Schizosaccharomyces pombe: one gene and its partner. The protein of the gene in region 1 interacts with the protein of each later gene in a pairwise test. Each region holds a gene or a part of one and is shown on either strand. Other genes may lie near its edges. The genes, in order: ppk22 and SPOM_SPCC417.11C.

The links.
Region 2: the proteins of ppk22 (region 1) and SPOM_SPCC417.11C interact in a two-hybrid assay, tested with the Schizosaccharomyces pombe proteins (one large-scale study listed by BioGRID).

The regions. Positions count from the first base shown.
Region 1 is NC_003423.3:4,145,560-4,150,005, forward strand, and holds ppk22 (serine/threonine protein kinase Ppk22), read left to right. Parts: upstream 1-1,892; 5' UTR 1,893-2,096; coding exon 2,097-3,677; 3' UTR 3,678-3,918; downstream 3,919-4,446. Other genes in the region: U2 snRNP-associated protein Lea1, read right to left, coding at 1-362, 424-504; SPOM_SPBC14F5.01 (uncharacterized protein), read left to right, coding at 4,205-4,446.
Region 2 is NC_003421.2:1,696,843-1,701,118, forward strand, and holds SPOM_SPCC417.11C (glutamate-1-semialdehyde 2,1-aminomutase aminotransferase), read right to left. Parts: upstream 2,679-4,276; 5' UTR 2,665-2,678; coding exon 1,348-2,664; 3' UTR 819-1,347; downstream 1-818. Other genes in the region: dipeptide transmembrane transporter Dal51, read left to right, coding at 1-410; SPOM_SPCC417.12 (carboxylesterase, type B family protein), read left to right, coding at 2,840-4,276.

The DNA of each region.
Region 1 (4,446 bases):
CTAACCCGTTCGAAATCTAAAATATGTAACGAAGGAATTCTCCATATAAGATATAATCTATAATATTGTTTTTGAGCAACTGGATTGTCAATGCACGACAAATTAGTGAGTTGAGGACAACTAGCCAACGGATCTAAATCTGCTATTTCTTGAAGATGATTTTGTGCTAGGGATAAAGTCTTTAAATTCGGAAGAACTTTACCTATGTCTGGGGCTATAGCAGTTATTCGGTTATTTCCACACAAAAGCGTTTGAAGCCTTTTCATACGAGGGAAATTCCCTAAATATCGAATGTCATTGTCTGTGAAATCAATTGCATCGTGTACGTCCCTTAACACTCCTAAATTTTCAATTATTGGAATCTGATACCCTGTAATTATGAGTTAGCTGGATGACACGTAGCATACAGTAATTTCTTTAAACATATCTTAAATCAAGCTCAGTTTCTTTCAAAGGACTGATGAATGAGGGTACCTGAGACAAAAATTCAGCATTAAGACGCATGAAATTTTTGTAATGAAAATGCCTTTTTTATGCTGTTACTGCAGTATGATTTAAAATTCCTAAAAAATTATCCAAAACGCTCACAATCCTAAATTTCACTATTGTTTATTCAAAAAATGTTATAGTTAACGTTTTAGAATCTAATAATGTAAAGTTAATTATGTAAAAACCAAGAATATGACACGTCAAGAGAAGAAGCAAAGTGGTAGAGTTTGGATAGTAAGCACATAAATAAATACAAAGAAATCTTGACTCAATAAGCAAAAAATACTCACTTTTTCTACTTTTTAGATTTAAAAAAAACAAATTATGCGTAATTATACTTTGATAATTGACTGACGACTTCCATGTTCAAGAATCGGCTTTCGTACTAGAAAATTCTTGGGAAAACAGAGAATAAATGATTTTTGTATATGTGTGTTTTGACACCTTTAAATAAAACATTTTTTCATTGTTGTCAAATATATATCTTAAGTTTGTCAGAAATTGGTACACACTCTTTTATCTGTTGAGCTCTCAAAAACAAACACAAGCAATCGACTATTTGGATGAAACACACATTGTTTTCCACTCAAAGTTTTAGTTCAACTCATCTATAATGTTCATACTGCCTCCCTATTTGACTTCGTGAGCACAAACCGCCAACGAAAGTTTGAAACCAGGTTATTTACAATTATTCAGAGTTGCTTAAGGAACCTGTTTTCCTATTAAAAAATTGCATTGAGATACTTACTAAACTGCTATATCTTTTTGTTTTCTCATTTAATGAAAAACATTCCAAAAACAATATTGACATCAAGTCGTTTTTTAATGTAACAGTTTTAATGAATTCTTCAGATTGTTTCTATCGTATTGCTCTATCTCAATGAAAGCACTGCTAAGAAATTATATTTAAATTGATATGACAGCTTCTAATATCGAATCAACTATCCATCCTCATACTAATACCACATGAGTCGGACTAATTGAAAATGCCAGCGATATCGACAAATGTACATCGACATTTCGGATAATGTTTGGGTTTAGAGTAGCCTCTTTTGTAGTTGAAAGTGGAAGAAATACATGATTAAATGTTGTGCTTCCATAGCTCGTGTACTTATAAATCATACAGTCACTCTTGAGAATATGAAATTAAAAATCACTGCATTTATTCTAACACTTATTCTGTTCCAGTAAGAATTATTCAAACTGAATTTACTACAAAACTACAGATCAATACCCACACATAAAAACCAAAAACAAGTTTTTTCTTTTATTTACAATAGCTTCAACTAAGTATTTTGAAGCTGCTTGTTAGTTAATGCTACAATATGACTGTTTATTTCTATATGCTTAAAAAGAGGATTATATAACATAAGGATGGCCGTGGCTCCACTAACTATTCTTTTGCCGACACCTCCAAATGAAACAAGAATTAATATAAGCAGGAGGAATACCATTCGGCTAGTTATATTAGACTATTTGGGAGCTTTGAAGTCGTTTTTCAAGTTTGCTTACATTCTGATTTATATTAGGTATTATAAGTGAGCCGTCAGCGAAATTTATTAACCGGTGAATGTTTGAAGCGCTACGAGATTAATGGATGACTTAGAATGGCTCGAGAAACTGAATTTAATGACAAAAGTCCCTCTTCCACCGATGATGGTATGAGCCAGTCGCACTTTTCAGATAAACTGAAAAATTTGTTTCACTTTCGTAGGAATCGAGCGGCAACCGTTTCTACTAGTGTCCGAAATGATCAGAGGGATAATGATTCTGATGACTCAACCTTTGATATTAATGTTAATCAATTGAATGAATTAGATCTGAATGATAGTAGCGATCAATTGGATAGTCGTCCCAGCCTTAGACGCGTATCTTCCGCACCTGATTCTCACAAAGGAGTAGAAGCGCCTCCTCCTCGTCCTTTAATTAATATGAGCAATATTCGAAAGGCACAGGTCAAGATTTTAAAAAACCCCGGCAACTACATTTTTGGAAGAACTGAGTACGGCAAACGAACTTATTCTGGGAATAGTACAAAAATTAGCCGAGTAGAAGTCACACCTCATAGTTTTGAAAAAATACGTCTTCTTGGTCAGGGTGATGTGGGTAAAGTGTATCTTGTTCGCCAAAAAAGCAACCATCGGCTCTTTGCTATGAAAATTTTAAACAAAAGAGAGATGATTAAAAGACACAAGGTAAACAGAGTCCTTGCAGAGCAAGAAATTTTGACCAAGAGCAAACACCCGTTCATTGTTACGTTGTATCATTCCTTCCAATCTAGGGACTATCTTTACCTTTGCATGGAGTATTGTGCAGGTGGAGAGTTTTTTCGTGCATTGCATTCCCTTCCAAAGCATATTTTACCTGAAAAGGATGCTTGTTTTTATGCAGCAGAAGTAACGGCTGCGCTGGAATATCTTCATTTAATGGGATTTATATACAGAGATTTGAAGCCGGAAAATATATTATTGCATCAATCTGGCCATATTATGTTATCCGACTTTGATCTTTCAAAGCCAATTTCCATTGTCACACATCCAACAGTCGTACTTCCAAAACATTCTACCTTCTCACAGGAGAAACCCGCGTTAGACACTAATTCCTACTTTTCTAATTTTCGCACTAATTCATTCGTTGGAACAGAGGAGTATATTGCACCAGAAGTAATCCGTAGTTGTGGTCATACTGTTGCAGTCGACTGGTGGACCCTTGGTATTTTTATATATGAAATTCTGTATGGAACTACACCATTCAAAGGTAAAAACAGACATGCTACATTCTCTAACATTTTATACTCTGACGTTAGCTTCCCAGAGTATCATGGCGCCCCCAACGTGTCGAGTACGTGTAAGAGCTTGATCCGCAGGCTTCTTGTAAAAGATGAGTCTAAAAGATGCGGTTCTGTCGCTGGTGCCTCTGACATTAAACAGCATCCTTTTTTCCGACACATTCAATGGGCGCTGTTAAGAAGTATGAAGCCTCCCATTATTCCCAAAATCGAAGATGGTATGGAGGCAGTTGAACCTTCTGATAATGATAATGAAGAAGAGGATTTTTTAAACTCTCAGTACCTTATCTCTGCGAATTTACCTGCAGTTGATATGCATTCCTCTACGCCTGTTAATGAACAGAGCAATCCTTTTGACAGTTTTAGCTCTGTCACTCTTCATCATGCTGGTGATGAATAAACTTACTTTGCTATTGTGTAACCTAGAGGCCATGGAAGTTGCCTTGGCTGTAAAAAGTTTTCACCGTTCCCCTTTTCCCCTTTTCGTTTTAATTTAAATAGTTGTCTTGAAATTGATGATAGTAATGATCAAAATTTATTTATAATCTCAAAATGTGCTGCTATTTATTAAATCGCAACCATATGTTACATATTGCTTGTAGCTAGCTACTAACGTTAATACCTAATACCATCTTCATCTCTTGATGGATATTTTATTTTATTTTTTTTTTTGGTAAATGGGGTAGACTTCTGGCTTCTTTTCAGTCCTAATTAAACTAATATTATAAGAATGTTAACTTATACTTTTCATCGATATTATCAAAAGTGATTTTGGATAGTAAATACGACAGTCCATTCTTGATATTGGAGCAACCGGCATTTTTCGACTACTCTTAAACTTGCTTACTTATGCTCATTTTATTATCATTTTTGATATAAGTTATCAAAATGATGGATAAAAATATTTAAGATACTTTATTAAAGAAAATGAAGCGTAGTTATAAAGACATTATTCGATTTTTGAAATTAATTGGAATTTCTCATTCAACAGCGATAAAGCTAGTAGATGGGATACTTCCCGTTATGATAGGACTCAAAACAAGTTATCTCGTCGATTGCGTTTTTTTGGAAATTTCTGAATTAAGAGAAATTATCGAATTCGTAGGCCCGGATTGCTTACGGGGCATCTATTTCACGGAGCCCATTTCACAATGTTTCGTATTGCATGT
Region 2 (4,276 bases), on another chromosome or scaffold:
TGCTTTCTTTCGCTGGTCCTCCTCGTGCACAGCTTGCAGGTTACTATTTATTGATGGTTTCTCCAGGTGCCATGATTGTCATGTTCGCCATCATTTCTTCCAACGCCTCTGGTTATACAAAGAAAGTCACTGTTGGTGTTATCTATCTTATCGGATACTGTGTGGGAAATTTAATCGGCCCTCAAACTTTCAAAGCTGCTGACGCTCCTGAATATATGCCTGCTAAGAACACCATGGTCGGTTGTTATGCAGCAACTTTAGTCACATTTCCTGCTCTTTACTATGTTAATTGGAGAGAAAACAAGCGTAGGGATCAATTGGCTGCGGAGGGAAAGATTGAGCATCGTCCCAATGCTGAATTTGAAGATCTTACAGATTTTGAGAATCTTGATTTCAGATACACTTTATGATTTGTACACTTTGCAGGTCATTGCTTTCTAATTATTGTATACTACTAATGAGTGTACGGAAACTACCGTAATAACTTTTCATTCGAGTTATTAAAGCAGGTTTTAGTCGTATATTCCGAAATATTTCTTTCTTAGCTGGAATACACTTTTAAGAGAAAGAAAGTTTCTGTTTTTAGGAACACTATTCCTTTTAATTATTTTGATTTTCCTTGTCCATGGTTTCTTGTTTAACTTGATGTCGTCGATTGACATATTGTGCTTGTATGTTTAGCTTTATTATTAATTTTTGTTATTATTTTCTTATTACGACTTTAATAATATACTCGTCTTACGAACGTTACTGAATACTGTAGATTTCCAAGTAGCAAAAGTCCCCGAGACTTTTTCTCGGAAACTCACAATATTTAAGATAAATTTAGCCTTCTATACATATATTAATCAACCTAAACATCAATTGTAAATATCTACGAACCAACAAAGAAAACTAGAAGAATGCAAATGTCAAATAATCAGATCATAGACAAATTGCTGTTAAGAATAACCTCAAACAAAGTTTGAGCTTCATAGCGACTTAAAAGCCTGATTTGAAAGTTTTAATAAACTATTGTCACATTTCAACATCTTCAAATAGGGCAGTATAAACTTGTCACTTTCGTCTGCTCAGTTTTAAGCTCCAATTCATTTAACTGAAATGCCTATGATGGAATATTTCTCATATAAAGTAATCATTTACATTTATTTTGTGTTGTGGAAATCCTTAACCATTCCATTTCATCATAACAAAATCAAAATTTCATATAACCTAAATAGTAGTTAGTCAACATTGCAAGAAAAATGAGTGATTCATCGCCTCAAAAAAAATTCTAAATCTCTTTTTTTTTTTTGTTTAAATTAGCAAAAAAATAGAATATAATTTGCCAATCCAATAATATAAAATTTATATTCTAATAAGAGACATCCTTCTATGAATCCATGCTTTGATTGTTAGCTTAAACGCTTCCAATTCGGATTCTGTAAGGACAAGTGAAAGTGTAATCATCCCCCGGCGAGCAATCCAAAAACCTTCCTTTAATAAATCCATCCACAAAAGATCTTTAAGTTCAATAACCTCACCAGCCGTATCATTGTAAGAATTTACGCGACCAGATTCAGTGAAATGAATGTTCATAATAGATCCTAAGCCTGTAATAGACATCTTGGTATTATGGCAATAAGACTCAATATCCTTGCGGAGCCCATCCCCTAACGCATTGAGTCTTTTTACTGCTTCGGGTGTATATAATTCAGTCAATCCAACGTATCCAGCTGTCAATGTAAGGGTGTCGTTGTTAAAAGTACCAGAATGAGATAAAGAACCTGGTAATCGAGGATCGAAACAACTCATAATATCGGCGCGTCCACCAAATGCACCAAAAGGAAGGCCACCACCCAAGTATTTGCCCAGCGTAGTCAAATCAGGCTTCAAACAATAAATTTGCTGTAAACCGCCGGGGCTAAGTCTTGAGGTCATAACCTCATCCAATATAAATACAATGTCATTTTTCTCACACTCTAGCTGAATCGTCTGCATAAATTCTTTGTCGGCTGGAATTGCACCACCCGCTCCTTGCATCGCTTCTACAATTACAGCTGCAATGTCTTGAGAAGAGTTCACCAATTCCTTAAATTGTGTGCTATTGTTGTATTCACAGAGAATGAAATCTTGACTATCCATATTGTATGGTGAAATACCATGCGCAAAGCTCAATGGACCGCCATGATAACCTCCATGCATTGCGATTACAGCCCTTTTTCCAGTGAATTTCCTAGCAGCAATTATAGCAGTGATATTGGCTTCTGTTCCAGAGTTGCAGAATCTTATTTTCTCAATGCTGAGAAAGCGACTTTTCAACGCTTCTGCGTAGTTTAGCTCGCAAGTAGTAGTTCCTCCCAACGAAATTCCAATTTCGTCGAATCCCTGCATAAGCGCTTTTTTTATCACAGGATTAGAATGGCCGTAAATACCAGCAGTTAGCTCATTAAGAAAATCCGTATACTCATGTCCATCCACATCTCGAAGTTTCGACCCATATCCAGCTTCAATGAAAATAGGGAAAGGAGCTCCATGAAGAACAGTTCTAGTGTTTCCGCCTGGCAAAGAATCACAAGCCTTGCAATGGAAATCATTGGATTTCGGATTTCTCGCAATGAATTGAGCCTCCGACTTCTCCTTGGCTAAACTGAGGTCCGATATCTCAGAAACCATATTTCTCATTATCGAGAGTCAATAAGCATGATAGTCAACAAAATGGGTATCTTATATCTTTGATCCAAATCTAAGGAACACGGTTAGTGTACCCGATCCAGAAATCGGCTGCTGTACCCGATATTTGGATCGTTAAAAGGAAGGTTTTAGGACGATAAAGATATTATTGTTGAAGAATTAGAAAATGTATGAGTCTCCAATTATCTTAGGCTCCAAGCCTTGCACACTTAATATCCCTGGAATGGGTGTGCTGCATGGATTGACTGTTTTGGATGAAAACGGTAAAGAGAAATGTCATAGATTCACCGGCATTCGTTACGCCAAACCTCCAGTGGGGAAATTGAGATGGAGAAGACCTGTTACACTTGAAGACGGTTATGACTATAGTGGGGATTACAACCAATTTAAAACTATATGCCCACAGCCTTTTTACAACAATCGCAAGAATCAGGTTCGTAATCCAGATTTTAAGTATGATGAAGACTGTTTGTTCTTAAATATTTGGGTCCCTGCTGGAGAGAAACCAGCTGAAGGTTGGCCTGTACTCTATTTTATTCATGGAGGATGGCTCCAAGTAGGAAACCCTCTACACTACAGACAGTGTGATCCACAGGATTTGCAAGCAGATGGTTCTCCAGCTAAGTTCATCTTGGTTTCACCGGGCCATAGACTTAATTTGTTTGGGTTCCTTGCTGGCAAGGAACTATTGGAAGAGGACCCTAAAAGCAGTAACTTTGGATTTTGGGATCAACGTCTGGGCTTGGAGTGGACCTACAAGCATATTGAATCGTTTGGCGGCAATAAAGAGAACATTGCAGTTGGCGGAATTAGTGCTGGATCATACAGTGCATTGTTCCAACTGATTTACGAAACCTATCATCCTGAAGCTAACCAAATCATTAAGCGCGCGTTACTCCTATCAAATGGATTGTCAGTTCAACCCAAGTCAGTAGAGGAATCTCAAATTCAATTCAACGAGTTAGCCCAAAAGTTTGGCATTCCATTGGAACTGAGCAGTGCGGAAAAGCTTGAGAAACTTCGGGCCATTCCCTTTCAAGATTTAGCAGACAATATTCTGAATCTTCGTTTGCATACATTCAGAGCTGTTACAGATGGAGATTTTGTAAACCCAAACACTTTTAAAGATATATACGACGGTACTTTTGGTAAAAGGATAAGAGATTCTGGTAGAGAGTTGATTATTGGTGAAGTAAACAACGAGCATTCCATTTATGCAAATACAAATCCACCAAAGTCCAAGGAGGATTTGTTTAACCAAGTTAACAACTATTATCCAGAGAAGGTTACCAAAGCACTCTTAGAGTTGTACCCCAAAGTCCCCGATATGGAAGATGAAAAGGAATACTTAGCAGCCATTAAGGCCCTTTTCGGAAGCATCGTCTCTGACATGCAAGTCTATGCTTCCACCAGAGTTTTAATTAATGGACTCGTTAAAGGCGGAGTTCCCTTGGAGAAAATATACAGGTATCGTATTGCTTTCAGAGGAAAGTTCTTTGATAAGTATGAACCTCCCGAGAGTCTTGTTCCCCATGCTGGAGATTTAGGTCTTTGGTTCTACAATGTTGTTGATGGTATTTTACCTGAGGAAATCCCCATTTAC